Lepisosteus oculatus: one gene and its partners. The protein of the gene in region 4 interacts with the protein of the main gene of each other region in a pairwise test. Links are inferred from orthologs where the notes say so. Each region holds a gene or a part of one and is shown on either strand. Other genes may lie near its edges. The genes, in order: chrd, cysteine-rich hydrophobic domain-containing protein 2, slit homolog 1 protein and hoxa1a.

The links.
Region 1: the proteins of hoxa1a (region 4) and chrd interact in binary tests that used the Homo sapiens proteins (3 or more experiments, as listed by UniProt). The link is inferred for Lepisosteus oculatus from reciprocal best matches to the Homo sapiens genes HOXA1 and CHRD.
Region 2: the proteins of hoxa1a (region 4) and cysteine-rich hydrophobic domain-containing protein 2 interact in binary tests that used the Homo sapiens proteins (3 or more experiments, as listed by UniProt). The two-hybrid records come from large-scale screens. The link is inferred for Lepisosteus oculatus from reciprocal best matches to the Homo sapiens genes HOXA1 and CHIC2.
Region 3: the proteins of hoxa1a (region 4) and slit homolog 1 protein interact in binary tests that used the Homo sapiens proteins (3 or more experiments, as listed by UniProt). The link is inferred for Lepisosteus oculatus from reciprocal best matches to the Homo sapiens genes HOXA1 and SLIT1.

What each region holds. Positions count from the first base shown.
Region 1 is NC_090708.1:18,749,298-18,756,556, forward strand, and holds the start of chrd (chordin), read right to left. Parts: upstream 3,005-7,259; 5' UTR 2,658-3,004; coding exon 2,474-2,657; intron 157-2,473; coding exon 53-156; intron 1-52. UniProt on the Homo sapiens protein: Dorsalizing factor. Key developmental protein that dorsalizes early vertebrate embryonic tissues by binding to ventralizing TGF-beta family bone morphogenetic proteins (BMPs) and sequestering them in latent complexes.
Region 2 is NC_090696.1:78,484,710-78,492,715, forward strand, and holds the start of cysteine-rich hydrophobic domain-containing protein 2, read right to left. Parts: upstream 3,008-8,006; 5' UTR 2,694-3,007; coding exon 2,572-2,693; intron 1-2,571.
Region 3 is NC_090699.1:44,405,571-44,413,417, forward strand, and holds the start of slit homolog 1 protein, read right to left. Parts: upstream 3,016-7,847; 5' UTR 2,631-3,015; coding exon 2,431-2,630; intron 1-2,430. UniProt on the Homo sapiens protein: Thought to act as molecular guidance cue in cellular migration, and function appears to be mediated by interaction with roundabout homolog receptors.
Region 4 is NC_090705.1:603,476-610,380, forward strand, and holds hoxa1a (homeobox protein Hox-A1a), read left to right. Parts: upstream 1-4,060; 5' UTR 4,061-4,166; coding exon 4,167-4,773; intron 4,774-5,098; coding exon 5,099-5,457; 3' UTR 5,458-6,389; downstream 6,390-6,905. UniProt on the Homo sapiens protein: Sequence-specific transcription factor. Regulates multiple developmental processes including brainstem, inner and outer ear, abducens nerve and cardiovascular development and morphogenesis as well as cognition and behavior.

The DNA of each region.
Region 1 (7,259 bases), on a different chromosome or scaffold from region 4:
ACAGTATACAGCTTCAGTTAAAACTGCTTGAACACTACGCCGCTGTGCTTACTGGTTCGCAGTAGCAGATAACGCAGTGCATCACCCCGAAGGGCTCCCCCAGATCCGGATGCCAAGTGTCCTCCAGCTCATAGAACCGCCCTCCGAACGAACAGCCTGAAACGAAACAAGAGCGAATCAGAGAGCAGGATCGAGGCGCCCTCAGTTACTGAGAAGTTCCTCCTGAGCCCGTCGGAACACTGGAATCCGGGACGATTTATCACAGCAGGGGAGATGTGAAGGAGGCCTGGAAAGGAATCCGTAATGGGAGAACGTGCACTATACAGAGACCACGAAGTTGTAGCTGGGTTAATGGGGTACACGCTTTAAGCAAGACACCTTTCACATGTTATCTAAACATTTCAACTGACACAGGCCAGCCTCTTTCGTAGTCTGGTCTTTGTTGAGAAGTGCTTTTCCAAACCCAACACTAGTCGTATAGTCTTTGCAACAACAGCGTTCCTTTATTTTGACGAACAGAAAACTACTTCTGAGTGCCCTCTGTGTATTTAAATTGACCTGCGCTTTTTTGTTTGTTCGTCTATCATCACTATGAGCTACAGTGTATTTCCATGTACGCAGCATCGGCTGTTATTTTCCGTACCTGGAACTGACGGCAGGTGTAATGTTGAAAGACTGACCTGCCCTCGGAAGAAAAGGGGCCGACGTATAACACGCGATCTACCGACCTCCCTGTATCGAGGCATCAAGTGCAACACGGAAATCCTTAGGGCACAGCGGGCCAATGGAAGGAGGCTGCAGCCGTGCTTTGCGATCTTTCCCCATAAATACAAACCGTGTTAACAATGCTGGACCAAAGCGTAAGACTAGTGGTGCAAATTCGTAGATTGGCGTCAGACTGAATGACGAAGAATTTGGCTTGTATCGGCGGATGCGTCGCAGACAACGCAAGGCCTGGATTCATTTTAGTGAATTATTATTTTTTTCAAGTTAAGGACTAAGTCTCAGAGACACCCTAATGCTCAAAGGTTTCTTCAACGTTTCTGATAAATCTCAGCTTTGTAGTAGACGACTGTCCAGGGAAATGATAAGGGACTCAGAAAACTAATAATAGCTACATGAAGGAATCTTCCTATAGAATTCAGTGTTTTATGGGGCCTCGGGGCATTGAGTTGTCTGTGTGCAATTTTCCCGAATTTCCTGGATGCATGTTTTTTCTCGGTAGGAAAAAAAACGGAAAACAGAACAGCAACTGCAGAACAAGACAGTGTGGTTAGCAAAGCGAAGCCAGGGGTGCCGGACCCAGCTGACACGGGTCACGCCGGCGGTCTCGCCTTTCCAGCCCGCCGGGCTTCAGCTGGCACCACTCGCAGCGCGCGGGCTCCGGGTTTGCCGCCGAGGCTCGGGGTTCACAACTGTTGACGCGAATATTATGCGGTTGCCGTAGCTGCTAACAAGCTGGTTCCCATTATTCTTTCATTAAGTGCCTACTTCAAACGGTCAAGTCGAGTCAGACGGAGGCTGAAGACAATATTCCTGCTACAAACATTTGAAATAAATCACTGCTTGGCAGCGCTGCAGCCCCGTGACTCCTGAAGGAATCATAGTGACTGTAATGGAAATTCTATTGATTAAGGTTTCCAGGATCAAGGAAGGTTTCTAAATGTTGACTAATACACCGCATAGCACCGTTACCAGTTTTGGTTGGCTTTGTAACGTTATTTAGTCATGTTTTAATGATAGAAAATGTACAGTATAATGTGAAATAACTGTAAGACTTTGTTGACTGTTGCTGATTCTAATGATAAGGATGAGGATGACAATACGAAGAAGAGAACACGGGAGCTACAATTAATTATTTTCTCATTAATGTAGACCTGGAATCCATCAGAGCTTAAATAAGATACGATTGTACTATTGCTTTATGCCTTAATACAAAGGACAAACTTCAAACACGTAATGTAAATGATAAACACTTGAAGGAAAATACTAGTATCCCCGAAGCACTAACACATAGAGTTTGAACTGTTATCTTTGGCGTCTAAAAACAAGCAACAGTTCCCCCACCTCAAGCAATGGTTTGTAAATCTTTCCCACATCATCCCCAACTCCCTCTCTCACTTTAAAGAGTATCGAGTGGTTTACAACTACACGTTTAAACAAAACGGACATACTGTCTTCTTTGGCAGTGCTAGATGAGATCTAGAAAAAAACACGCAGCTTATATCAAAATAAATATTTGGACTCGCAGAACAATTCAACATGAATAGTAACTGAAACCCTTTGTGAATGCGGTTTCCATTTTGAATACATGGAATTTGGAATAAACAGCTTTCGAACAGTATTTCCTGTTTTCCAGATTTAGTGATTACATCTAAAGAAAAACAGTGGGATTCTGGCCTACGATGTCTGGGCTCAAAGGTGATGAATGCTGCATGAACATTGCGGTTACGGAGGACAGGAGACACGATACCTGCGATGCCTTTTGAAGGTAGAGGTTCCCTCTCCGATTGGATGGGCAGCGCAGGGGACTTGAGTCGGGAAGCGCGTGCGGATTCCAGCCACGCGCAGCTCAGGAGACACAGGACAACGACCGACCAGCAAGTTCGCATCCCTGCGGCTACAGCTGCATGCAGAGGTGACCCGGGTAAAACCATTCAGCAGAAGGTCCGTTTAAGCAAGACGCAGTGTGGAGGTCGACGAGTGGAGTTGATCCTACTTACACCATGCAAAAAGAAATTAATAAGTAGAGAAAAAAAAATCCCAGTCTCGGGTTACCTTACTCTGTTCAAAAACCCTGTTAGCGAGGTGCTGGAATAAAACGTCCAGAAAGCGCTTATTTTGCAGACGGAATTTAAGATCAACAGTGGAAGCAAAACCAGAACCTATCCAGACAAATATCAAAAAATGAAAGAAAAACGATGTTAGAAACGAAGCCGCAGACTAGACTGGTATTGTGGGCGGATCGTGTGTGCCTGGTTGCTGAAACCTGCCTCTGAAGAGTCAGTGAGGGTGTCTTTCCGTTTTATACCGTCCTGACCGCCTAACTCCACAAAATCAACACAAGTGCCCACAACTGGGGGGGCTGGGGGAGTTAGGCGGGGGGGTGGCGAAGAGAGAGAGAGAGAGCCGGTGTGTGTGAGTGTGTGAGAGTCTGGGGGTGATGGACCTCCCGAAACCAAGCGCAGAAGGGACTCTGACCTCACCCCGTACCACGAGAGAAGTGTCGGCAATTCACGGGGTGAATCGAGTCCCGGAGTACCCACGGGGCCATACCTTACACTGAGCACCCCTTCCAAATAAAGAACTTTTAAAACGCATTTTTTCTCAGAGTACGTAATTATTTTCAGCGTCTTTTCATTATCCCGTTCACCCTTGCGAGAGGCGGTCTGCTTTCTGCAGACAGAAACTTGATTGCTCAATAAATGCAAACTGTGTTGCAACGGCCCTTATTAATAAATACGTAACGTTATTCCTATGGTGATCACGATTATCGTTGCTTTGATGGACGCCCCTTCCACCACATCCCATTAATTTATAGTGCAAGAACACAGACCGGGAATTTCAACGTATCTTTTTATTTGTCTTTGAGTTATGGCACCTATCGGTCTGAACAGACAATCCGGGAAGAACTTCCACGCCAACACGTGTGCTTAGCGCCTGGCTTTCTACCAGAAGCCGCTTCGACATCCTGCGGTTCAAGTTCATATAAACTGCGCGACGTGATTTATTTTCGCAGGAAGTTTGGGCCGGGGGGGACTTGACTGATCGCTCTTGGAAGGTTCAGCTGCGATCTCACTTTCTCATCATTACTATCACCATAGTCACTTTTTGTGTTAGGTGCTCGCTTCTTGTCAAGCTCTTCATCAACCGTTCACCGCGAAATGTCACTTTTCAGCAAGACTGAACCTGTTTTCTGCCTTGCATTCCGTTCTTTGGTGACACTGTCCGTTTTCCAATTCAAACCACACCAAAGAATAATAAAGAATAAAGAAAAAATGACGTGAAATGTGTTCCCGGATTTGGAATTGCGCTGAGTGAGCATGTATGTAATATATCATCGGGTCCGGTGCCTCCCGAGCAGGGCAGACTCATAAACGCCGGATATTCATTAATTCCTTCGCCATCCCAATGCAAAACACCCAGAGCGGTTTGCTCAATAAAGATAAGGCACCACAAACAGACAGAGGGCTCTCCGGTTCCGGTATGCTTGTCCTTTACAAGCTAGAGCCGCGAAAAGCGCAGAAGAAACTCTGCTCAGCTGTCGTTTGGAGCCGACACCTTTCCCTTAAACACATATCTCACAATCGCACCACAGGAATGACCAGTGCTCCTTACCATTTTAACATTTTTACAGTTAATTTTCATATTTGTTATGATGGTGTTCTTGCGTCTTCAGTTTTTCAATCAACTTACTCTTACCATTAGTAATTAATAATAGAGTAATAGCTACAGCTAATCATGTTTCAACAGCTATCTGTTGACTTTTATTACGGGGGACACTTTAATGGTTTAAAAGCACAATATAAATGCAACTAAGGTTTATGGAATAAAAAAGAAACAGAAGGATGTAACGTTTGGAACTTGTCAGTGTTAGTGATTGGGAAGTTCGTGCGGGCGACAGCATTAATCACTTTGTTCCTATGTGAAGACCAGGTGTTATTTTAAGGAAAGATCCGCTCGAGAACAGCTGAGACGAGCTTATCAAATTTAACATTGAATTCAGCTATCTGCACAAAGCAGAACATTCACACAAACGTGATTGGGTACTTGGATACTTCGAGCTTGTGTATAGAACTCCTTTGGTTTGGTTATTGACCTGTCTGAAGGTCAAGACGCAAACGGCAGCTTGTCTGCAATTTGAAATGACAAAGCGCCATTTACATTGAAAACAAAGACGTTTGCGCCTGTAAGGTTGAAAGTGATATTTTCATAGCTCTAGATAGGCAATATTTGTATGTATGTATATCCTGTATGTAAAGTAATTTAGATAAATATGAGCACAGGCTATTGTTAATTTGCTCGTTCGTGTGATTGTTAAGTGTCAGTTTTTACGCATGTGCCCATACAGTGCGTTAAGTTGTCACCGAGAAAATTTGCACCTGTGCGTCATTTGTGTCACGTTGGGAAGTGAATAGCATCGATGATAGTTTGTTTGCATTTAATCATTAAGTGATAACTATTGGTTTCATTTAATACATTAGGGAAGCCATTCATTAGGTGTTTTCCATTCATGGAAAACAAATCGCCTTTTGAAGATAATGCAAAGATTTAAATAACGCAAGTCGCACATAATACAATGAGCCGAAATGTGTATTCTTCCTTTTCATGACTGAAATGCAGACAGAAGCTGAATAGTTCGAAAATGCTTCAAAACCAGGAGGCTTTATACATCTTATTAAATCACCAACTTCTAAAGATTTGGAACATTTTCGCTTTTATCGATTAAGCGAGTGATTTGTTAAATAATTTAATAAAATCGAATGAATTTGACCAAATTTCAGTTTCCATGGTCTATATTCCTCTTAACTGAACAGATTACGTGGTTAACAGATCAACACCTTACAGGTGCCCCCATTCTGCAATTTCCCTCTATCTTATTTTGAAAAGGTTTGGAGACTATGTATATCTTAGAGTTAGGACGGTGTTTTGTACTTCAGCGGTGCAATAAATTGTATGGCGGAAGTTGATCGTGTTGCTGTGGATTTGAATTATTCTTTGTTCGGAGCGTGTATCACATAGAACATTCTTGCGCACTCAGAATGCAATTAGTCAGTATACCACGGAATGTGGAAGGTTTTCTGTTAGGATGTGTGGATGGCGGTAGCGTGTGAAGGTTCTTGGATATAGCTGATGGTGTCAGCACTCAGAGGAGAACAAGGATTGCAGGACAGGATGCCAGTTACTCAGATCACACGATCTGAAATACTGCGGGGGTTTAACAATAATTTCCTTACGCCTCTAGTGCAACAGAAAGAGTGTTTTAAATTAAGCAGAAACAAAATGCGATTGAAGTCATTTTTAATGTGCCAAAACATTACATTCTCGTAAAATCGATTATCTGTGACCAGTTTTGGGCGTTGGAGATGCGTTAAGATAAGGCCGCACACCTTTTAAAGAATGTAAATTTAAACAAGATACATTTGTAACTTTTAATTGTTAATGTCTGCGCAGATTTATGAGGTTCATAGCAAAGGATTTGGCCTCCTTCGGGGAATTAGTTGACTGGCTGTGTTTTTCGCTTTTCACAGATGTTTCCAAAGCACTGAACTAAACCCATAAATATAAAATAAGTACCCAACAAAATGAGATGTATTTTCTGAGAGAAATTTTGAAGGCAAATTATTTGATGGTTTTAATAAACTGTTGTCAAGCGGACCAACAATACAGGACCTAATAAGTTCCAGACACTTGAATGCTAGCGGACTACTTCAGCGAAGCGTGTTTTAATTGCTTGTTGAAAAAATATCACAGGTCTCGGGACATCTCTTTGCAATTCCTTTTAGGCCTATTTTTCTAGAATTATTTCATGGTTTCAGAGTTTTAACTAGACCATTGCTGTATAAATCACTGACTCGAGTTAGTATGTAGACAGGGCGCAGTGAAAATCCCTACATTGCCTATAAAATGAAACGAGGCGTAAGGAAGTTCGGTGTCTGAGGTTCTGTAAAGGCTAGTGGTGGGTTTCGTTGTGTTTTCGCCCTAGTCTGGCAGGTAGATCCTGTTTATTGGCGTGTCTGTGCCGGAGGTGCAAACGAAGAGCCCGAGAAGATAGCGGGGGTACGGAGGATCTTGCTGGCTGGGGTTAAGGTTCAGCACCTAAGAGAGTCTGCAGACCTGGATGTGATGCGGAACAAATATCTAACAGTCCGTAGCAGGATCACCGTGCTGATCAGAGCAAAAAAACAACAACAACTGATATATGCAGTTGTGGGGTGGTCTTCCATTGTAAAAGATCACCTGCACAAGTATACATTTTAGGTTTATCGGATGTAGTTAATACAATTCAATATGGACTAGTTCTATTTAAGCGTGAATTAAATTCGCGGGAAATAGGCTGAACAACCCACCAGATGAGCTATGCCCCGTAAATGCACCCTCAATACATCTCAGTAGAGAAACTACAATAACACAATACCAAGGAACTTTGTACTCTTCAGGTGTTCTTTAGCTCTTCGTATTCCTTACACTGTGCGCCACGCGTCTCTAGTCTGGCAAGACAGGAGGAACATCTCTGTGTTCAGACGGACACAATCATC
Region 2 (8,006 bases), on a different chromosome or scaffold from region 4:
TTAAATGTGAAAACTCTTGCGGAAAAAAGCATATCATCACAAGTCCCGTTCATCGCAATTATTGGACTTTCAGAGCCTCGTCTAATCAAAGCAATTGAATGCTTTTATGAAACCTAAACTTTTAAATTTAAGTAATGGAAGGACAAGCCATTGGTGTTGATTAGGAAAACAGCTCAAAATAAGCAAAAACAAAAGTTTCAGAACACACAAGCTTTCAGAGCTGTATTTTCTTAATGCAAAGAGAGGGCCATGTTCCTGTAGGCTATATGGATCAAGCAATGCAGTAAAACAATTTGGCTAGTTATTTCAACAGAATCAAATCTGCAGATTGGTAGGATTATTCTGTTCAAACCAAGCTTACTATCCAATTCTCTGGAGGTCTTATTTTAAGAACACTAATTCTGAAATTAATTAAAGCACAATTACCAGTAATACTTCTAGCTAAAAAATGACCCTTCTAAACTAGCTCCCCTGTACAGCACCAGGGCTGTGCACCTCTCCTGGATCTTCTGTCACAAATTCCACTTTTTAACCAATTTACCAGTTAATATTCCTTTCTTTAGAAACAATGTATTTTGTTACACTGCTAGAAAAGAGTAAACAGCTAATTCACATTCAAAGAGCAGGTACTATCAAGCCTTCAACACAACACCTTCATGCTCAGGGTCGTATTTACAAACTGTCTGTCTAAAACTGCTGTACAAACATCTTGTCACTCAGGAAGTACTAAACATGCCTCCCAATAATGTTTCCTATTATTATAACCACTTCATTAATACAACTTATTTTGGGCGAGAAGAAAGCCAAGCTTATTTCAAAGTTTCAATTCGCCTAACAGAATATCCACTGCACCACACTTGAAAACTAAAAAACCATTCAGTTCTGAACAGAGACCACAAGGGTCTTGATTCACATTCACAAACAGTACAGGTCCTGACAAAGTCAGCCAGAAGAGCTTGCCAGGACCAGCTATGAAGCCTGAACCAGGATGTACAAGTGCAAATGCAGAGAACAGCGCTGCTCCTAGATCACAACCACATCACACAGGTCAGGTGGGTCAACTCTACATGTAACTGATCTCAAGTTCATACGTGGAAAATAACATTACTGTTCCTGGGCTGCCTTTGGCTGATGTGTTTAGCGCCCATTTGCACCCTCTTGCATAGCTGGGTATTCGGCGTGAACCTGCTCCTGGGGCGAAGCTGCATCAAGCAGTTCAGCTGGAGCACCTTGCTCAAGGGGACAACAGCAGTGCTTCGCCAGGAGGCTCGAACCCGCATCCTTCCAGCCACAAGTCTAGAACTCTGACTGCAGCTCCCACGACCTCCCCAATTCCACCGAGACATTATGGGACAGGTTTGATGGGCAAGAGTGGAAAAATGTTTGATCTGAGAGGATTCGGAAAGATCTGTGAGGGTTAAAACAAACGCACTGTGCTAAAGAACACTGTGTGGCTGTGGTTGCCAACAAAAGGAGATTGTTTTTATAAGCATTTTTGGCAGACTGAGTTTTTATATTAAAAAGCTTATAAATGAAAACTGACATTTATTCTGATCTTTCTTTGTTTCCATATTTCTCGCAGCTTTGACCACCAGTGTGTGCTTATTTACAGTAGACAGATACACAGATGCACTCACACCCATGTGAACATGATGTAATAACTATAAAAGAAAATAAACAGGTTATTTTTTTAGTAAACTATCTTCTAATCAGGAAGGACTAATTCATTATTTGCTCTTTACTGCTGCTTCAGCACATATTCCCACTTAATAAAAACTTCTGCCATGGTTAAAAGCATAATGTATGCTTAACCCACAACCCCTAGTGTCTGGAACAGCACAGGCATTCAACCAAAAGAAAAATTCGGGAGAAGTCAGTTGAAAAGGTAAAATACTACAGCTGCTATATTTTTCCTTCTCGTATCATACTTTCACAGATTCTTGAGTTAGCTAAGTCACCGTTAACATTTTCATCTTCCCTTTACTAGGAAACAGCAGCTTTTATCAAGATCTTTACATCTGAATCCTTACATGAATCCGCCAACCTTCACCTCTGCGGACATGCAAACTACCGGCAGAACTGTGGTGCACAAACTACACTTGCTGGAAAAAAGGCACCCGGGCTTGGACCACGGCAGGACTGTAACACGAAGGACGAAAACACTTCCAAACAAAACCTCAGGCACCGCGGCTTCCTGCCTGCGCATCACCCCTCCCCAGAGCACACAACACGCTGAAGCCCGACTGCCCGGCTGCAGCTGCCAAACGGGGCGTCTTGGCAAGAGGCGCTGTGGGCTCCCGGACTGGGGGGACCCGGGCCCGGCGGGCAGAGGCTCCCCACGCCGCGGCGGCGCACTAGAAGACCGTGAGCCTGGTCCACCCCCACCGACGCGCTTCTCGCACTCGACCCCGCACAGGGCCTACCCACACCGGAGCCCCGGCCTCTGCCGCTCGGCCGGACCGCCTCCGGCACGCCTCTCCTGCGCCCGAGACCCGCCGGCATCGCAGCGGAGAGGACACACCGCGGCCAGACCCCCGCGGCACCCCAGAGCGCCCCTCGCCCGCTGCTCACACAGTGACGTGGCCGGATCCGCGCACCACCACCGGGTCCGGCGAGTACTTGAGCAGCTGCTCCTCCGCGGCCCGCTCCTCGTCCTCCTCCTCCTCGTAGATCTCGTCAAAGTCCGCCATCATCGCCCGCTCGCCTGGGCCCCCCCGGCGCTGCGCTGGCCCGAGAGAAGCGCACACGGTGGCAGAGCGACCCCCCGATACCAGCAGCCCCCCGAGAAACTGACACCCCGAACAAACTACCCGGCGAGCGGCGAAGGCGCAGCCTCACAGCTCGAGAGCAAAACAACAACATCCGCCGCCTCGCGAGAGGTTGCGTCACGCGGCGCGAGAGCGGAGCGGAGCTCGCGGGAGGAGTGCGCAGGTGCCGGGGTCACGCGCTCAGCGCTGCGCGGCTCCGCTTGCAGACTGAAGCGCACACACGCTCACGGGGTGACCTGAGACCGTGGACGACGCACGCCTTGGCGTGGGGGCCGGCCAGTCCTGCACTCGGCAAGACTGCCCCCCTCTCACCTGCGGCATCCAGAGCAGGGGGTCGTGGGCAGGAGGGTGTTTCTGCGTGGGGGTGTCTGGAGTCTAAGAAAGCCGCCCACTTCAGCAATTCAGGAAGATCACAAGCACCAGAGGGAACAAGATCAGTCACCACAGTCATGCCCCTCTACAGCACACTAAGCGAGAAACCTCGAGTCCCACTCAGACTGATGAAGCTTCGTGTTTACCTTTATATAGGTCGTGTTAACGTCGTTGCGAGGCTCTGATCTCTTTAAGCACTCGTCACCAATTAAATCATCCGTCTGTTCATCTTCAGTCCAATTACACACGTGGGAGTTGCAGCGCAAATATCTACATTTTTTATTGATTTTTACTAATGATTTAGAAATATAAAAAAATACTAAAGCAAATCATCACAAAATAAGGGAAACATGATGGTCAAATAAATTTTGTACATAAACATCAATGCAATATATATCATATATACAGGGAGGTCTATGGCTCACAAGAGCTCCCAGCAGAAACGTATGTTTCCTGCATAATCGGGTGTAAAAATCACCAAGAACAGAGGTAGCTCATTTTTTTATAAGAATACGACACTCACGCCTGGAAACCAAAACACCAGAATTTGTTTTATATTTTATTCTCACAGTCTGCTCTGAGTTGCTCTCAGGTCTTCATGCATGTCCTGGGGCTGTGCCTCTGCGTCCCGTCACCCGGTGCTGCTGGTGCTGCTGCAGCTGCCCTCCTGGGGGGCAGCAGTGAAGGGGCCACCGGTCCCCCCCTCTCGGACCCAGGTCCGTCTTTCCGAGGAACAGAGCTCTGGTGCTTGACCTGGAGGGCAGACGTGCCCAGAGTTGGGTCCCAAACCGCCAAGTTACTTCATTTAACAGGTGCATCTTTAGAGACCGGCGATTTAATGATGATGTACAAGAGCTGCTGGACTACTGGTGAAACAGCGGTGATGTCTCGGTGAGTGATCACGCCCTTCCTCTTTCCCCTGAACACTCGAGAATACTGCAGCCCCCAAGGGGGTGATGTCTCTGAGCTGCCGTGCAGCACAGGCATAGTAGCAGCCATACACATTGGACAGCATACTCTCATCACAACGCCCTCCGGCTCACGTGAACTGGGATACAGCAGAAAGTATTCCAGGCATGTAATAAATAGGAGAGAAGGAGGACTGTAATGTGACATGAATACATAAACCTGTTTAGCAAAACCAGAGCCCTCTGTTATGTCGTACTGCCATACACAGACAAGGAGCTCAGCTTTAATGTATTAATTAGTGATAAAAGCAAAATACTGAATTCATAAATCTGTGTGAATAAGTTTTATACCATGATCAGCTATACAACAACATTGTGCTTCAACACAATTGTTTGTCATCTGAAGAAATATAAATGATTAGGACCACTTTGTACAATAAAACAAAACCATAAACTACATTCTATATCCCAAAATTACTGTTTGTTATATGTGGAATTTGCCAGTGGTGGAAGAGATGGAATGGAATGTACTGCACCTTTGTGTTTTACAGAGGGTGAAGAGGCTCGCTAGTCTGCCTAGCTAGTATAATGCCTTCAAATCCCACAGGCATGTGATGCTTGTATACATACACACGTTTAAATGTTAAATTAACAGTTAAAATGTCTGGAAGTACCACATATACGGTCTTAAGAGAAATTTTGAAAGGGGTTTCCTTTTTGTTCAGTTCTTGATAGGTACATGTTCATAAATTTGTAATTAAGAACATAAGAAACATCATACAGACTTCTGGCTGTCATTTCTAACTAGATTCCATCCTGAAATTTCACTGAATGATCCTCGGGGATCAGTTCAACACCTTGGAATGGACCAGCACACAAAGAAATATTTCTTCAATGCAGAAGGTCTGTGCAACAGTTTCTTAATGACGTCCCTCTGGCACACAGGAAGGAAGAAGGCAGGTCAGAGGGGGGCTCCCAGGGAGAGGTGTGGCACCTGAGTCTGGCCTCCTGGGGAGCAGAGCCAGGGGGACAGATTCCTGCAGCCAAGGCACTGACTCTGGAGCATCGGGAATAAGGAACCACAATGCAGTGTCACCGAGAGTGTGTCTGCATTATCTTCCCATTGAAATTAAGACAGATTTTCAGCACTTCGGATCAGTAAGTCAAGCAAGGAAATTGGTCTAAGGGCTGTTGTATTCTTCCCCGTTACTCACTCTCATTTACTAATAAATGTTTGCTTAGTCTTATGGAAACATATAACTGGGTATTTGGAAAGAGCTTTAATAAGTAATTTGTGCTTGGATCGCCGTAAGACAGTGACTATCCATCTTGCCTAATGAAGCAAACTTTTGGGGAGCTTTTGAGGGTCACACCATCAAGTCGATTGATACTTCTTTCTGACTTCTGCCTTTTCATAATTGAACTACAAATTCAAAACACATTTGCACAGTGAATACCTCTTTCTAGAAACACTGGAGTCCAGCTTTTCAACTAAACCCTTCTAATCCTCTGCAGATAGATTCCCATTAGCCTTTGTTTCAGTCACTTTCCAATTCGAACAATGGGGACTATTCAGTTGCTTTGTTCATATTAAATTATTTGTCATACTTTCCTACTGAATTTGTCTGATTTTCATTCGCATGTGGAAACTGCTTTATTGTAATGCCAATAAAATTACGTTTTATTAATATCTTGGTAACAAGAATCCGTTTCACAATGGAATAATTTTAGTGTTGCTCAACATACATGTACATGAAAGTTAATGTATAATTTCAGTACTTTATTTTTGTGCAGCTGTCACAGGATAGGATATAGTTTACTATAGGATATGGTTTTATTAGATATATTTTCACCTGTTTCAGTGACATTGTTGTAAACATGAAATCATTTCCATTTGTTTGGTTAGAAATCCTGATTTCCAACATTGTACAATTTAAGAAGCTCAGGATGCTATAGGTATAATAACTTGAACTTGAACTTTATTGCCATATGTAACAATGGAACAATGGAAATAGTACCATTAGTATAATAGTATAATATATAGTATTAGTATAGTATAATAGATACAACTCAGAAGAATTTTTAAAGACCGATGTGTCCCTGGGTAGGCATATACAGTACTTAGCTTTTTTTTGTGAAAATATAAGATTACTGCAAACTGTGTGACTCTACACTGCTATGAAATAAACATGACTGTACTGTATGTGCTTGCTCTCGTCTACAGCACTACATGAGTGGTTTAAAAAAAGATGAAAAGGCCAAGACTAACCGACCAAGTTCCCTCTGGAACTGCAGGGTCTGTAAGGGTTTATAGAGCTAAAAACTACTGCTGGTCACCTTAAGAGTGATCTGCGTCACCCCCTGATGGTGTGGCCATCCTGTAAGTAAAGCTTTAGCCTTTTAGATTCAAAGTATTTTCATACATATTGAAATCATATCTGTTAGGAATTCCCCTTCTCCATGTTTTATTCTATTTCCATCCATCTATCCATTTTTTAACCACTTCAACCAATACAGAGTCACAGGGCCACTGGAGCCTTCCCTGGCAAGCAAGAAGCACAAGGCGGGATACACTCTGGATGGGACGCCAGTCCATTGCTGGCCAAATGACCAATATAATTTTCTCAAAGTGTTTTCTGAGCTCTGCCAGCTGGTGAATAAAGTTCCCAAAAGCCTAGAAAGGATGTACATCAGGGCCCAATCCCAATTCTCTGGAGGTGAGAGACAAAAATGTAGCAAGAACATCACTTTCCACAGTATCACAACCCGGAAGCCAAATACAGTGAAATCTTGGCCAGATTTACTATCACTTCTATGATATGGGTTTGTCAAGATAGTTTGCCTTTCCTGGCCAATTGCAGTTTGTTGGTACCTTGGACACTTGTTATTCAAATTTTAAAAAGTGGTAAAGAAAATTCAGTTAAAAAGCTTTGGATACACTTTTGTGTTTCCTTATAAGAGCATGTTAATACCATCTGAAAATAAGGATCTCTTGAAAAGGCTTCATCTCTCTCCTAATGAAGGAGAACCATCAGCAAAAACATGAGCACATGCAGAATAAGTCCATTCAAATAATAGATTCTGGAAAGAAGTGACCAACACACTCAGCTGAAAGTTTTACAAGGTAAACAACCTGAATGAAACGATCTTGAACTCTGAAGTCAAGTTCTCAAAACCTGTTATAACATTTAACATTCTGGAAAATATAGTGTATGTTTGTCTTGTTTTTTATGAAAAAAATGAAATAATGTATTGATAATGTAGATTAAACAAGTTTAGTCCACTGCATAAATTGTGACACAAACTTTGTTTTCATTGATGCTATAAAGCGAATTTATTTTCTCAGAACAAGGAAAACAGAGTGGGCATTACAGCTGGTATTCTGTTTAAAGAGATAATTGTTCCTGAAATGTCACTCCTGTGGTATTATGTTGTCCCCTGGATCATTGTTCATTTCTGTTACCATTGAAGACTATTTTGAAGACCCGAGTGTTTCTTTTCAGTTTTTGGTATTCATGATCAGTTGCCTAGTAACTAATAAAAGAGAAATCACGCGACTATATTAGCCAAGATGTTCCACGGGTTGACTTACCACAATGCAACTTTGAAAAAGGCGTCCATACAGCTTAATGATGGTCTTTCAACAAGATATTAATGGATTTCTTCACGGTATCGCCAACATTGAGAATAAATAGGTATCACAACGATTGCAAAATGCTGAAATATGCCCACGGTAGCTTAGTCCGGCTACGCATCACGGTAGCTGAGGTCTTCGCGCTTGTAACACTCGAGTGTGTTGCTGTGTGCGGCTACTGCCAAGTGCTAGACGGCAATATTTATAAATGTGATCAATCAAGCAGTGTTTTTCTCATATCTAAATGTAATTTCAAGGCCTCACTGTGTTAATCTGACCGCTTTTTAGAGTTATAATTGAAATGTTACTAATGCCTAGACCAGC
Region 3 (7,847 bases), on a different chromosome or scaffold from region 4:
TAAAGTACTTTCATCAAAGAGCTGAATAATCAATATTTTTTAGCTATTCTATATTTTATGGCCTCAGTCACCTCCCTCAGTGTCATTACTAAGTCCATTCTACAAATCAAAGCCAATGACAGTCAACAGAGTTGACGTACTGTATAGACTTACTAAACACATAAGGTACTTCCTTACGCAAAGGGTTGTGGGAGTCTGGAACAAGTTACACAGTCAAGTTGTTGAAACTGATATCTTGGTTTTCCTTCAAGAACTGGCTTGATGAAATGCTTGGGTCGATTAGCTATTAACATCCAAACAGGCAATAGGCTTAATGACCTCCTCTCGTTTGTAACGATTCGTATGTCAAAGGCAGAACTGAATAATGATCTTGTGCAGCTCCAGTCTAGTGCTCGGGGCAGAGGGAGCCGGAGCACCAAATGTCACGATCATAACCGTGGGACCAAGTACTGAAGACCGTTGGCAGATTGAATTTTTACAATTTATGTGGCTTCTTTCCAGTACTAATAATAATGCAATATGGCACATTATTTAGGCAGGCCACGGAGGTCAAATTTTAAACATTCTTTAATCAAGACAAGAGAGGAAAAAACAACAGGTTTTTGATTCTATATAACATACAAGTATCACGTGCGTATTATATATTTCTGTATTTCTACAAGATTGCTCTTCTACAAGTGAAACAATAATATAATCTGCACCCTAGATTATACAAAGAGCATTTTATTTTGGTATGGCTACAATAAGGACAAGACTTAAAATAAATCTCCCATTTGTCTAAACTGATTGTTGCTTTACAATGTAGGATATGTTTGTGAGATTACCTACATAAAACACTTTCAGATTCTTAAGGGTTTTTTAATAATGTAAATTGCATGTAATTTACTGTAATTTATACATAAGTAGATGGTTTTATTGCAGAGAATTTCGGTGCTGTAATGTAATATTACTTTAATTTTACATCCTAGTTATTGAGTGTGACAACCGTAATGTAGTCTATTTTTCCTGTGTAGTATTAACTTTTTAAAATTACCCTCTCAAAATGTTCATTATGTCGAGAATACCTGCCACATGAACACATCTATGGAGCTAGTACACAAATGCATTTGACACAGTCATATGAAAATCACCCACAATATCTCTGTTTCTAGCAATTGAAAAGGCAAGTGATTGTTTTTACAAAGATGATCATCTTGCAGGAGCCTCTAACAGAATAGTCTGGTTTAAGCAGAGTGTTTCTATTAAACTGCACTGGATCTTCTGGAACCTCAATGAAGCACAAATAATATACAGCATATACCTCTTGCTATACCAAAGACCAGACAGAACTTCATAATTCATCATTCTATCTATGTATTCTATTCCAACGATTCTATGTGTTCTATTCCTGTAACATCACACTTTTTTCTTCATACAGGATTGCTTTCAGTGATTGCAAAATGAATATTTTAAGCTCTAGACCTGTAACATGAAAAAAAGCCCCTGAGGTTCATTCATCCTGAAGTGTGTTCATGTCAGTGATTCAAATCTTTCTCTTAAGAGCGGAGTCTGGGCTCCCGTCTCGCAAGCCAGACCTAGAACACAGATTTGCGTAATTTTCTACATGATTTAACAATTTAATGTGGAGAAAATGTTTCGTGTCAGGAAGAGGGATAAATGCTGTGGAGCTGTGTAAGGCAGAACTGCATATTTCAAGAAATCTGCTTCAAAAGAGTCTAAACAGCCCTGCATTATTGTAATTTACAATCAATTTACATCATTTGCCAGACTAAGTGCTATTAATGCAGTTGCACTGTTTTGTAGCATAACTCCAGAAGACATGACCTACAATTTGTCTAAGAAAAGGATATGCATAAAGAACCTCATAGAAATTCAAAGAAAATTTGAAAATATTTTTTTTCTAAATATACAATCGGAGTGTAAAATGTACTCAAGAGATGTTTTACAATATTGACAAAAGCCGAAGTGAACCTTACTCTACATGCATTTGTCAGCGAAATGGAGACAGTGTGGAAATCAATCAGATGTGATGACAATCGAATCGACTGTATGATGCTCTAGGAGCGAAGTATACTTGACATAAGCTGTGAAAAATTACTCCCAGAGATGAACAGAGTTGCTTTTTGATGTGCGTGGTACAGGCATTGTTCACAAAGTGTGATATGAGGTGGGTTGCCCCAGTGCATTTCCATATTTTTAGCACATATGCAAATCGCACGCACATGTGTAGATGCGGGACATCTGCTTCTGTTTTTTTTTTCCAGAGCTGGGCTCTTACTACCTGGCCCTAACAGCTGGAGCATTTTGCATGACAGATAATGAAGCAGCAGCTTTCTTATGACCGGATAGCCGGATCTATTGTTCTCCTCATTTCTCCACTGAAGTCATGTACACTAGACAGACAGACAGACAATACAGTCAAGTACTCACAGCCTCTCAGTGTTCCGGGGAATATTCCTGGGCACGGCTTTGAGTCCCAGACCATGGCAATCCACAGTGGTGCCACTGCAAGTGCAGAGTGCCGGGCAAGCACTGGCACAGCCCCCCAGCAGGGCGCCCCACAGGACGACCCAAAACCCAGCTTTGGTCAGTCCTGTACCAGCCCCGCTGCAGCGTCTTCTGAAAGGCATCCCGGAGCACCAGTTCCTCTCCGCACTGCTCCAAGCCGCTATTCTAGACAAGTCTACTCCCGCCAATGTGCAGAAAAATAAACAAAACAGCAGTATAAGGTTGAGACCTTCAGGGAAACAAGTTCATTAAATGGCGTAAATATTTGCAGCGGCTCCTCCGTCTTATTCCTTTCCTTTCTTTTCTTGCTTTCCTTTCCCAACCAAGCTCTTTTCTTCTTTCTTTATGGAGATGTGTGCCCCTCTGTAGCTCTGTTGCGTGCCTACGTCCTACTCCCTTTCTCCCCAGCCTTCATCTGCTTGCCTGTAGAAATGGGAATAGGGGCAGAGCAGAGCAAATAAAAAAAGGAAAAAAGCAGTCCCTCTCTCTCTTACACACACAGCAGTCTTCCATCACAAGGAGCTACAAATAGCAGCTCCTCGACTCCTCCTACCTAACCCCCCCCCCCCACCACACCACCCTCCCCAGAACCCTGCCTGAACTCAACACTTATTCTCACAGGCTCTCATCCAGTCTCACAGCAGCCCCCACAGACAGGGAGCAGCAACCTGCACAGCACCGGCCCCGGATCTGCCTCTGGGATCCCCAGCATCACCAGGGGCAGCAGCCCTGGGATAAGCTCAGCAGAGTAGCAGGAGGCAGAGGAGCAGAAGAAAACAAAAAAAAAATCAGTTTTCCAGAGGTGACGACTTTTCACGAGAGTCTGGGCAGACCGAAGACAAAAGTGTGAGAGAAATGGAAAGGGTTCCACAGCCAGGGGGGCTGGAGATGCAGGAGCAACGCAGACGGCAGAGTCAGGCAGTTCAATCGCGATCTGCCAGTGTAAAAACTGACCAGGGCTGCAAAACCCAAGGCATGGGTTGAGGTCATGAACTGATGCGCAAAATAGAGGAGCAAACAGCCTTTTAGTGAGAATTAAACGAACGGCTGCAAGCTGAGGAGACAGAACTGCAGTTAGATATCGGTTTTGACAGATTGCTCATTCTGGCTCATGTCTTCAGAACACTCATTTTCATTTTGTTCTGCTTCTGCTGGTCTTGAGGGCGCCACCCTACTGAAAGACGGTAGCAGTGCCCTGCACATAGCCCGGATGAGCTTATAAAGAAATGGACTATGAAAACATCTGTTGGTACCCACTGTGTAAACCACGGCTTCAGTGTTAGGAGTCCAGATTCACAATTCCAGGCATTTCTGGAATACACATGAACAGTATTGATGAAAATGGCATAAATGCGTTTCTACAAAATCCCTGCTGATCTTGGGTACTGTAGCAGAAATAGCGACTGTCACTTATAAGTTTAGAATGAAATGATTTCGGAAATGAAATATAGTTGAGAGAAATGCTGATAGGACCAGACCCCCGAAAAGTGAGTTAAAATACTCTGATGAAGAGTGAAAGCAATGAGCTAAACCAACACCTGTAAAGTTGCGAATACTGTTGGCGTGCAATTGAAGCAGAAAATAAGACTACATCATGACCGATTCCAGCCAACCAACCATCTGCGAGTGTAGGGTTTGTGCAAGCTCGCGACTAGCTTTAACACTGATTTAAGTGACTCGAAGTAAATCGTTGTCATAGAAAATCAGAAGCATTAATCAAACATATCGGCTCCACATGTCTTTTCTTGCCTGATCCATCAATCACCCTAAAATAAACTGCAGTCCTATTTTAGACTGTCAAAAACTGTGACAGGGGGCCACGATCATTATGTCTCCCCACACAGGAGACAGAATTCTTAAATTAGAATGCTCAATTTTTTGTGAATTCTCAAATGTTATACTATAGGTATTGTGATTTCTAAAAAAACGTTGAAACATAATGCAGGTATGCTCACTTATAACAATGACTCAGAATGAGGATCCGATAGCTGCTGGCAACACGTTTGCCGTATTTCTTTGCTATGTTCAGAAAGGGTTGCATAGTGTTTTATCTTGCGTCTGTGAACCTTGGTCCTTTACAATGCTTAGGTTGGTTCAGGTACTCTTAACTAGCCATTGTGTTTCAACAAAAACGACGCCTGTCCAGGAAAATGTCTCAAAGAACTACAGCTAGAAGCCGACTAATACGAAATGTTTAACGCATGTGCTCCCGCCCAAAGCTATCGCGCTGTATCTTTCTACAAATGGAAATCACACAATTTAATGAAAGGAGCATCTAATAATTGTAATAATTAATGCTCCAGAGATACGAGGAAAGGAAAAATGCATACAACTGCTCGAGATAACAACAAGCTCCCATAAGGAGTTAGTTTCCTAAAACAGCTTTTACGGTGTTTTTTTTTTACGGAGAAAAGAATTCCCGACCATGAGCAAAATCCGAGTGCGTTTCTAAGTAAAAAAAAATGCAAAGGCACTGAAGACGTTGAAACGCACTAATAACACTACAAACATGTTTCAAGTTTTTTTTTTAGACAAGGCTTTGCAGAACCTGGGAATGACAAAATTATGGTCGCTCATACAAAGGTTCTGTTAATGCCTGAAAACTCATTTGCAAGAGCAAATTTAAAACATGTTCCACATGTAAAATATGTGATATATGGCATATTGTTTAAAATGGTTGAATAATAAAAACCTTAAGCACATATCACATTGATATTGAAAATGTTCTATGTGTGCGTAAAACAAATTACATAATTATTCCAGTTTCTTAATCGAATCAGAACATGCCACTTTAATGGAAATTAAGCATTGAAAGCAATAGTGAGAAGAATAAACGACTCAAAAAACAACTTGAAACAAAGGGCAAACTAAACAAAACATTGACAACTGCATACTTTTAAGCGAACATTTGTTTGAAACTTATAATGTAAAATAAGTATTTGGGGGTTCATCAACACATTCTGGGATGGTTAAAAAGATGTAATGTGCAAAAATGGCATGCAATGGGCTATTTTCAGATCTTTAATATGAAATATGTAGTTATTACGTATAAGTAAAGAGAGCATATGACCTCTAATGGGCAATTAAAGTATTACGAACATGTTATTCGCTATTGTGTTTACTTTTTAAACACCGCCACCTTGTGGATGAAATTGACAATGCTTTTACTCGGCTATGATCATGATTGAAGTTCATAAGAGCATACAACCAACAAAGCAAATTGTATTGAAATACTTTCCTTCTGACAGATGTCACATACTGATGTTCCAGAGAACAGAAAGGTGCATCCAAGAAGTCTCCTATGCTCATTATAAAAACAATTGTGGCACAATATGATTCAAATTACACAGAACAGCATTATAATTATAATAATTAATTGCTTACACTTAGTGCTTTTCTGGACACTCCACTCAAAGGGCTTTACAGGTAATGGGGACTCCCCTCCACCACCACCAATGTGCAGCATCCAGCATTCTGAGAATTGAATATTGGTTGATAACCTTATAACCTCATTCTTATTTGTTATGTTTTTTTAACATAAAAAGGTAACCAGAAAAAAAAGTTGCCTGTCATCTCAAAACCTGAAGTATTACAAATATGAATGAGTATAAAGTTACGCATCATTCTTTTGCATTTAGACAGAGGGTATAATGCTCTGGATAAAGATGGGTGAAGGAAAAAAAACTTCTAAAAACATTAAATCATTATCATTAGGTAATAAATAATAAATAATCCACCTCTCCCAATATCTCTCAAAAAAATGTCCTTCTAGAGTCTTAACTGAAAGGTTAACTTTTTCAGTTCATAAATCTCTGAAACAATCATTTTCTTGGTTTGGGGGCTCTTTGATGTGTAATAGCTTTCTTACTTGCTGCCAAGAATACTTTTAGCAAGTATTTACCTCTGCCCACATCCTCATCAGGCAGATTACCCAGACACAGAACTGAACACGACTTTGGAATTTCTAAACATGTCTTGCTAATCAGAGACAACACTTCTTGTCTTGGACATTACCAATATATGCGTTGAATGCCCTGCGTCTACTACGACTCTGTCTCCAACATGGTTGTGGCAAACCAAGCCGAGACAATTTTATTTTGGAGTTATGAAGAATCGAGTTAAATTCTTCCAGCAGAATTCCCTCCATCTTTTTGAGTTTGTGGAAGTCATAACTTCATTCTTATATCAAGATAAAGAAAACACCCCCATAATTTAAGTCTTACAATTTTAAAATTTGATATCTGAAATTCACTTCTTACCTATATATCAGTACAATTTGAAAACGTGAAAATGCTTAATTTAGCCAATTGCAGCAATTATTTAGTTTTGCTTAACTTCTTATACACTGTAAACATGCACCAGCCCTTTGCAAAAGTATGCAGATACTTTTCCAGGGTTTAAATAATGTGGGACTGATAATGAGAAAAAATGTTCAAGAGACGGGGTAAAAAGGTGTTTATTTTAAAATGATTACTAAAGCCATGTATTTTACAATGTTACAACTTATTTTACATACATTATGAACAAAAATAACTATTAGGATGACAAAATTGCTCAAGTAAAAAATAGCTTAGAAAATGCATTGCTGACAACAGCTTTCAGAAACTTGACCCAAACGTTGAAACCTAATTATTAAGGTCCTGATAACAGAGAAAAAATAAAGCATATTCTGCTGTAATAGACCCCACCAGCAAAAACAGACTAATACATATGGATGGTACACTCACTACAATCACTCATACAGCTGTTTAATACCTTGAATGACTAACGTAATATTGCTTGGTATTCTTAAAACAGAATTTTATGCGACCTGTGCTGTGCTCTATTGCACAGTTTAAGACTATTATGGCCAGGAAATATTTTGGTTGGTTAGTAAAGCATATACTACAAGATTACCTACTTATTCACGAGAAAGCAGGTTGATAGCAATCATACATTTCTGATTTTGACAAGGCTCTCCAGCTTCTATATGCCAAAGATGTGAAAAAAGCTATAAAGGTTATTATGAAATGTAAGGGGTTAATTGTTCAAGTTTTGTTTCTCATACAAAACTGATCCCACTATTTCAAACTTCACTTTAAAGTTCACCTATAGGCTCTTACAAGTTGGGCATGGCTTCAAATTAGGTTTCTATTTGTTTATTGCCTGCTTCAGAGTAGAAACAGAAAAGTGTTATCTGAACTAAGCAATGAGAATTCAGATATTTCTGACTTTGAGTTATTAAAACATGCTCAGAACATTTTGTTACTTTAGTAAGGTGTTGCCTGCCTGCTGTCTGGCACAAACCCAGTCTGCTATGTCAGAAAGCTATTACTCCAGTGAAGTGTATTCAAACACCT
Region 4 (6,905 bases):
CAGTACATTTTGTTTATTAATGAATGAATTAGTTAATTCAGTACAGAAGATAAAAGTCCACGCTCTAATTTTTGTAAAAGTTTAGTCTGGCAATAATTACAATTAACCATTTAAACATTAATTCTCCAAAAGCAATACATTGGTTCTGTAAAAAAAAATAGAATTTAGTCTCTGTTCTTTTATTTTTGTATCGCTTTCGGGTACATTGTCATGAATATTTTGTTAGAATAAATTTTACTTGCTACAGGTAGCTTTCAATAATTGTGTCACTGCATTATTTCCAGGTCCAAATGAAAATTAAAATGTATTTTTATATTACCCGCCTCTCAAACAACACGAGATTGAACAAAATGGAAGGTCAGAATATTTTATTATTCCACAACAAATCAAAAATGAACATAAAGAAAGGTACAATGTTAAACGTATTTTAGAAAAATAACAGTAAAGTATACATTTAAATGTATCAGCAATTAACTTTTTAAAATTAAATTTATGAGTCAAATTTTCAAATTCGTTTTCAAAAATATAATTTGTATAATCTGTACAGGATAATATTTGGGTGTAATTCCTAAAACTACTTATTATTACCATCACCAATAATAATAATAATAATAATAATAATAATAATAATAATAATAATAATAATAATAATAATAATATAATGTTTTCCATTGTGTCTCTCTCTTGAAACCCAAAACTATTCTTCGTTCCCGAACCTAAAATAAGATAAAAAGTATTTACTAAAACAAACAGCAATTTCAAAGTTTTACAGGCATGTTCTTTTTCTTTCATAACAACAAAAACTTTAAAAGCGCAGTTAGTGCAAAAGACCGTTTCACCGAGTTTCAATCTCGCAGGACGTGGTGGAATGGGATTCTGCCGGGTGAGCTCAGGCAGTAGCTGAACACGAACAACTAGAAAGAGCTTCCAGCGGGGAAATGTCTAAATGAATTAAATATAGTTTCATATAGGAATCTTTCGGGATGCTGCATTCGGTGCATAGTCGGAAATAGAAAACTCTTGGACAGGCATAGGTAATTTTGCACTTTAAAATAAAACATTGAATAATCTTAATATTGTTTAAGTTAAAACGCACTGTATCGTAGCCTTCTGTAGTTTACAGCCTTCGTCCTTTTAAAAGACAGGCACAGAGTTATTGTTACGGCTTACACTTGGTATCTGTGGAAATCAAACTTCGTATTGCTGGAGTTTGTGCAAAAAGCGGCTTTATGCAGACTAGAGCCCGGCTTCTCAGAAAGCGCCCTGGCTTAGTTTGTATTACTCTGCAAAACGTGATGGAATTGCGTAAGAAGTGGCTGGAAGGCCTGGATGAAATTCTTCCCAAACTCATAAATCAAACTCTCTTTTATGAATGAGAATGTCATCAAAGAGATCAATTGCAGGAGCACATGCACAAATAAAAACCTCTTACGTATTTGGAGGGACTGGGGATTCCCAGCCAAAAGCATTAACTTTGTAGGCGTTCGGCAGTAATTCATTTTTATTGCCATTTAAACCAGCAGAGCGGCCTGAGAACGGCCGCCGATGCACCGAGATGCTCTCTGCTCAACTCAGAGCGGGTGTTACAATCTCTTTAAGTGCACTTTTAAAATATATATAATATTCTTCGATTTGTTTAGTTAAAAGTTTATGTTCACATTTAACAATGGACTTCAAATCGACATAAACGTAGTTTGTCTTATGCACCAAAATATATGTATATTTAAGATTATTTTTATATAGTTTTTCCTAAAAGGGTGTCTATAGTGAGCCTTTCTATTTAGTCAATAAAATTATTCTTCTTTATTATCCACATTCTATGCCTCATCCAGAGATTGTAATTTGTTATTACGATGATATTTTCCTCTAATTTGGAATCGATCGAACATTATTAAATCTATTAAACTGTAAACCACATAGGCAATAACGTGACATTTTGCCAATTATATGTTGCCATAAAGCAAATTTTCTCTGGACACAAACATCTAGAAACCTTTAAAGAATGAAGACTTTTTCGGGACTATCTCCCACGCTGGCGAATCGACGGTTTTGAAAGGAATTGTATCAGAGTGCCCCTGAAACAATACCTCCTTTCTTTCGCAACTCCGGCTGTCAACAATTCGCATTTTAAAGACGTGGGCGATGTGGAAACTTCACAGAGCTGGACAGGCCTGTTAATGTATTTCTGGGTTTTTTTTATTGTGATGGTAAGTTTACATGCCTTTCCATTTTGTGCGTTCTATCTTATAAGGTATACTATTTTTTTGTATGTGAAAAAAAACACAAAACAGTGCAGATTGTGCACACGTACTAAACGACATACGTTCATCTGGCAATATTTGAAAGCTTAAATGTGTAGTTACTGCAGACAGAGCTGGGCGTTGTGAAAGAGCCACCTTTCCTGAATCCCTGGATTCAAGCGAGATCGCCATCTTATTGCACAGCGCTGACCACGGAGTCTCGCCTTGTGTAAGGTCGCAGTGGAAACAGGGCCGGTGGACAAAACACCACGTAATCGGGAAAGCCTAAATATACATATTGGGTATATGATAACAGCAATAGAATAAATGTGCATTGTAGGATAACTAAATTAACGCCGGGTAATTTCGTTATCGATTAATCGATGGATACGTTTAATCATGCTGACGCACAAACAAGTTTAGGGGTGAATGGCTAAAATATTCCATTCTGGAACCACTACGCTATTATAGGAAACCTTCTGTGGGGTGGCATGTTTCGATATTACTCTTCTTCAGCTGTTGCTCGTGCCATTTAGACATTTGTATGCCAGTTTAGATGGTTTTGTCTGACCGACATAGCCCCTTTACAACTTTTTATCGAATTAAGAGAAATTACGTCCTAAAAAGCATTAAGTATTTAGAGGAACGGTTTCGGAAGCTGTGCTAAAAAAAAAACGAATGAAGAGAGTCACGTCAGCTATATTGTGAGGGAAACCGCACACCAGGCGGGATAAAGTCTTATTTGTAGAGTTGAATGGTTGGTCTCTCAAAGTTGGCTCGTCTCTACAGACCCAGCGGATATGAGCAGATGAACCGCGTCACAGCTCCCCTCTCAGGCTCCGCCCATTTCAGGGGTTTCCCAGGCCGGTCCTGAAGGGGCGCGATCCTGAAGGTTTTCTAGGTCTCCTGAGATCAGCGGCACCTCCAGACTTGAGAAAATCTGCTCAACTCTTCCATCGAAGCCAATAAGTAGCTAAATTAGACCATTGACGGCTGTGCTGCGATGAAAGCCAGCAGGACTGCGAGCCTCCGGGGCTAGGCTTGGGAAACCAAGACCTATATCGTAGAATGAAAGACGTGTCGGTTTAGACTGTAGTCCAGCCTGTGTTCACCTCCAGCCGCCGGAGAAGGTGATGCGCGGAGCTCAGAGCGCTCTGATAGCATCGCTGACTTTGGTTACAGAAGGCTCTCATCTCCATGCCGACAGCTGTGAACACACACAGACACCTGATAGGATGCGACCTGTCTGCCGGCTCTCGAATGCTGACGAGCAGCAACTTCAATCCAAGCATCGACCCCCAGCTAAATGTTGAATCGAGCTCACCTTGTCTTTTCACACTACAACACTCAGAAGGCAAACGTGAAATACATGCTAAATTCCAAATCCCACTTTATAAATGTGCCCCAAAGACATATTTAATCTTAGACTTGATGTTGACTACAATAATACGTTCAGTTAAACAGAAAACATTTCACAACCAGAGATGGCGCTTTTCTTACCTTGTGCTTAAGTGATGCTGAAACAGCTGTGCTTTCGGGATGGAAAAGCGAGAAAAGAAGAAACGTTATCCATCAGGAACATGGGCTGTTTATTGTCTCGAGAAGTGTCCTGAACGATTTCCGCTGCACTCTGTCTCGCCCATTGTTTGAACTAGCAATACATTACGGGCTGGTGTGCGTCACCTTGATAGAGGAGCGTGGAGAATTTAAATGTCTGTAAACCGGTGATCTATCACCGCCAGCAGAAGGCTATCTCAGCACCGCTGTGCAGCCACTGGCGGACACGAGTCACGTGACCCCCGCTCCTCATTCATATCGGTCTGTGCTGGCCCGATGGACGAACTGGGCAAGTTGGCACGGTCACCCGGGCTGGAGCACGGTCATCGCTTCAGACCTGACCAGTCGTGACAGGTAGACAATGCTACAATGAGCTCCTTCTTAGATTACCCTGTGATCAGCGGAGAAACCGCATCCTGCTCCTCCAGGGCTTTTCACCCAGACCATGGGATTACAACTTTCCCGTCGTGCTCTGTCACAACTAATACCTGCGGCGCTGACGATCGCTTTGGCGTGGGCAGGGGCTCGCCAGGGGGCATTCCTCACCACCCTCACCAGCCGGCCGCCTACCAGCCTCACAGCAGCCTGAGCCTCACCTACCCCAGTCACCCCAGCTGTGGCGCGGGGTATGCCACACAGGGCTTCTGTGCGAGTTACAATCATTACCCACTGAACCAAGACGTGGAGTCTAGCGCGGGGTACCCTCAGTGCGCCCCAGCAGTTTACTCGGGGAACATTTCGGCTTCCATGGTGCAGCACCACCAGGGCTACACCGGAGCGTCGGTGGGGGTACTTCCGTACACGCACGGCGCTTACGGCCACGAGCAGGCGAACCTGCCCCTTCCCGGCTACACGAACCCCCTGTCTCCTCTCCACGCCTCTCACCACGACCCCTGCTGCTCTCCTCTGGCCGAGACATCGCCCCAAGCACAGACCTTTGACTGGATGAAAGTCAAAAGAAATCCGCCCAAGACCGGTGAGTGTCACGCTGTTGCGCACCTTTCTGACCGTTGATGTGTCTTTCTGCGACGCTTAAGGAAAACTGAATTCAACAGTTTATTTCTGTATCGTTTAGTTGTGTTGTACTGTTGTCATGCAAAAAGCACATGTGACGAGATTCTGTAACCCTTGTGCGTTTCCTCAAGGAGCACCTATTCTATACCCAGCCTGTGGAAGTCGACCTCAAAGTGTTTTCCACCTGTTCGCCCGGTTTTGTCATTAAGCGCACATCCTCTGTGATGTTCTCTCACACGAATGTCGATGCTCAGGCTGACATCCTCTGCACTTTTTTTGGTTTCCAGGGAAAGTTGGAGAATACGGTTTCGCCGGCCAGCCCAACACGGTGAGAACGAACTTCACCACCAAGCAGCTGACGGAGCTGGAGAAGGAGTTTCATTTCAACAAGTACCTCACGCGAGCCAGGCGGGTGGAGATCGCAGCAGCTCTGCAGCTCAACGAGACTCAGGTGAAAATCTGGTTCCAGAACCGGAGGATGAAGCAAAAGAAACGCGAGAAAGAAGGTCTGTTGCCGAGTTCTCCGTCGGCAGCAGCAGAAAGCGAAGAAAGAGAAGACGCGTCGGAAAGATCCCTTTCCGCCCCTTCGACACCTTCTCCAGCCTCATCCTCAGCGTCCACCGCGGAGACGTGTCCCTCCAGCTGAAGCTCCTGAGCAGCGCGCTGACAGACCAGCCTGTCATGCGGCTGCACCTCTGAGCTCCAGTCATACTCATCGGAGGAATGTGGCAGATTGCATTGTCCGCATTTTATCATGTTGTTTTAGTGATATAGAGCAAGTAAGTGCTGGGATTTAGATGATCGGAATTTCAATGACAACAATATGTATTAAAACACAAGACAGATGACACAGTACATACTGCAGTCAGCAAGCTGTTTTCAACCACATGTGTAACTTCCCCATAATTTCAGGTGATGATGACAAATCTAGAGAAATGCACTAAATGCAGAGAGTTTGCAGTCGGGTGATCTTGCCTAAACTCTTCAGCTTATGATTTGCAATTATGTAATTACTTTGATGCAGTTATAATATGTGTATTTAATCCATTTTTTAGAATCTCTTTTTACATAACGACGGTAAGATGTTAAGGGTATAGAAAGACACAACTTAGGAGCGATCTTACATTTTTTTTATTTTATACAGGAAAAAACGATAATGAAAAACAGATACCTCATAAAGAAGACAAGCTCACTTTATTGTAAATTGTGTTTATTTGTGTGAAATAAAACGAAATTGCACTGAAACGTTTTACTATTGAAATGTTCAAAGTGGGCTCATCCCGAGCCTGTGAAGTCGCACACTTTAAATACCTCGGAATACCAAGTTGTATTTGACACCTGTGTTCGTGACGACGTCTGCATGATGCACAGCGCTTTGATGTACCTCCCTTAACACTGAGTTTTATCAGTTGTAAAAGTATATTTCTGTACAAGCGAAGAAACTATAACAACACATGTAATGTATTTGAATCGAGTAAAGTTTACGGGTCTATGTATGATATGTATTAAAACTATCCTGCTTCTAAACAAACCAGAAATGACTTTTTTTTCCCACAACAGGGTTAGGAGTTAATTTGGGATCATAACTTAGTTCGTTTTAATATAAAGGTAGTATAGTCTACCTGCACATACCTGCGCATTTTATTGCTAAACAGTTTTCTCCTCATTAGCCTCTCATTAGCCTCAAAATGACGAATATTTTTCAGCTTCCCTTTGGAGTTTGTATGGCAGAGAGAAAGAATTCCAGTCGAATTCCAGTCTCCGGGCCCTTTCATCTGACGTCGCAGAAGCTACTGACATGAAAGTCAACACCGCAGTCTCCAGAACGAGCCTTTTCATGGAGTTTGCCTGCAGTGCTACACCGAAGGGGCCATAATGTTTAACTTTAAAGGCCGGAGAAAACAAAACCGAGAAAAATACTTATTTTCTTTTTGACCGGATCCTAAGAAGCCTTTTTTTTGCACGCTACAGCATGGCAGCATGTGTAGTCTGTTTGCACTAGATTTTTACAGACCGTGCGCGAATACTATAGAGGAGCATTTTCTTAATTATAATCTTAGTCATTCTACAATTCCATTAAACTATTGGATAAAA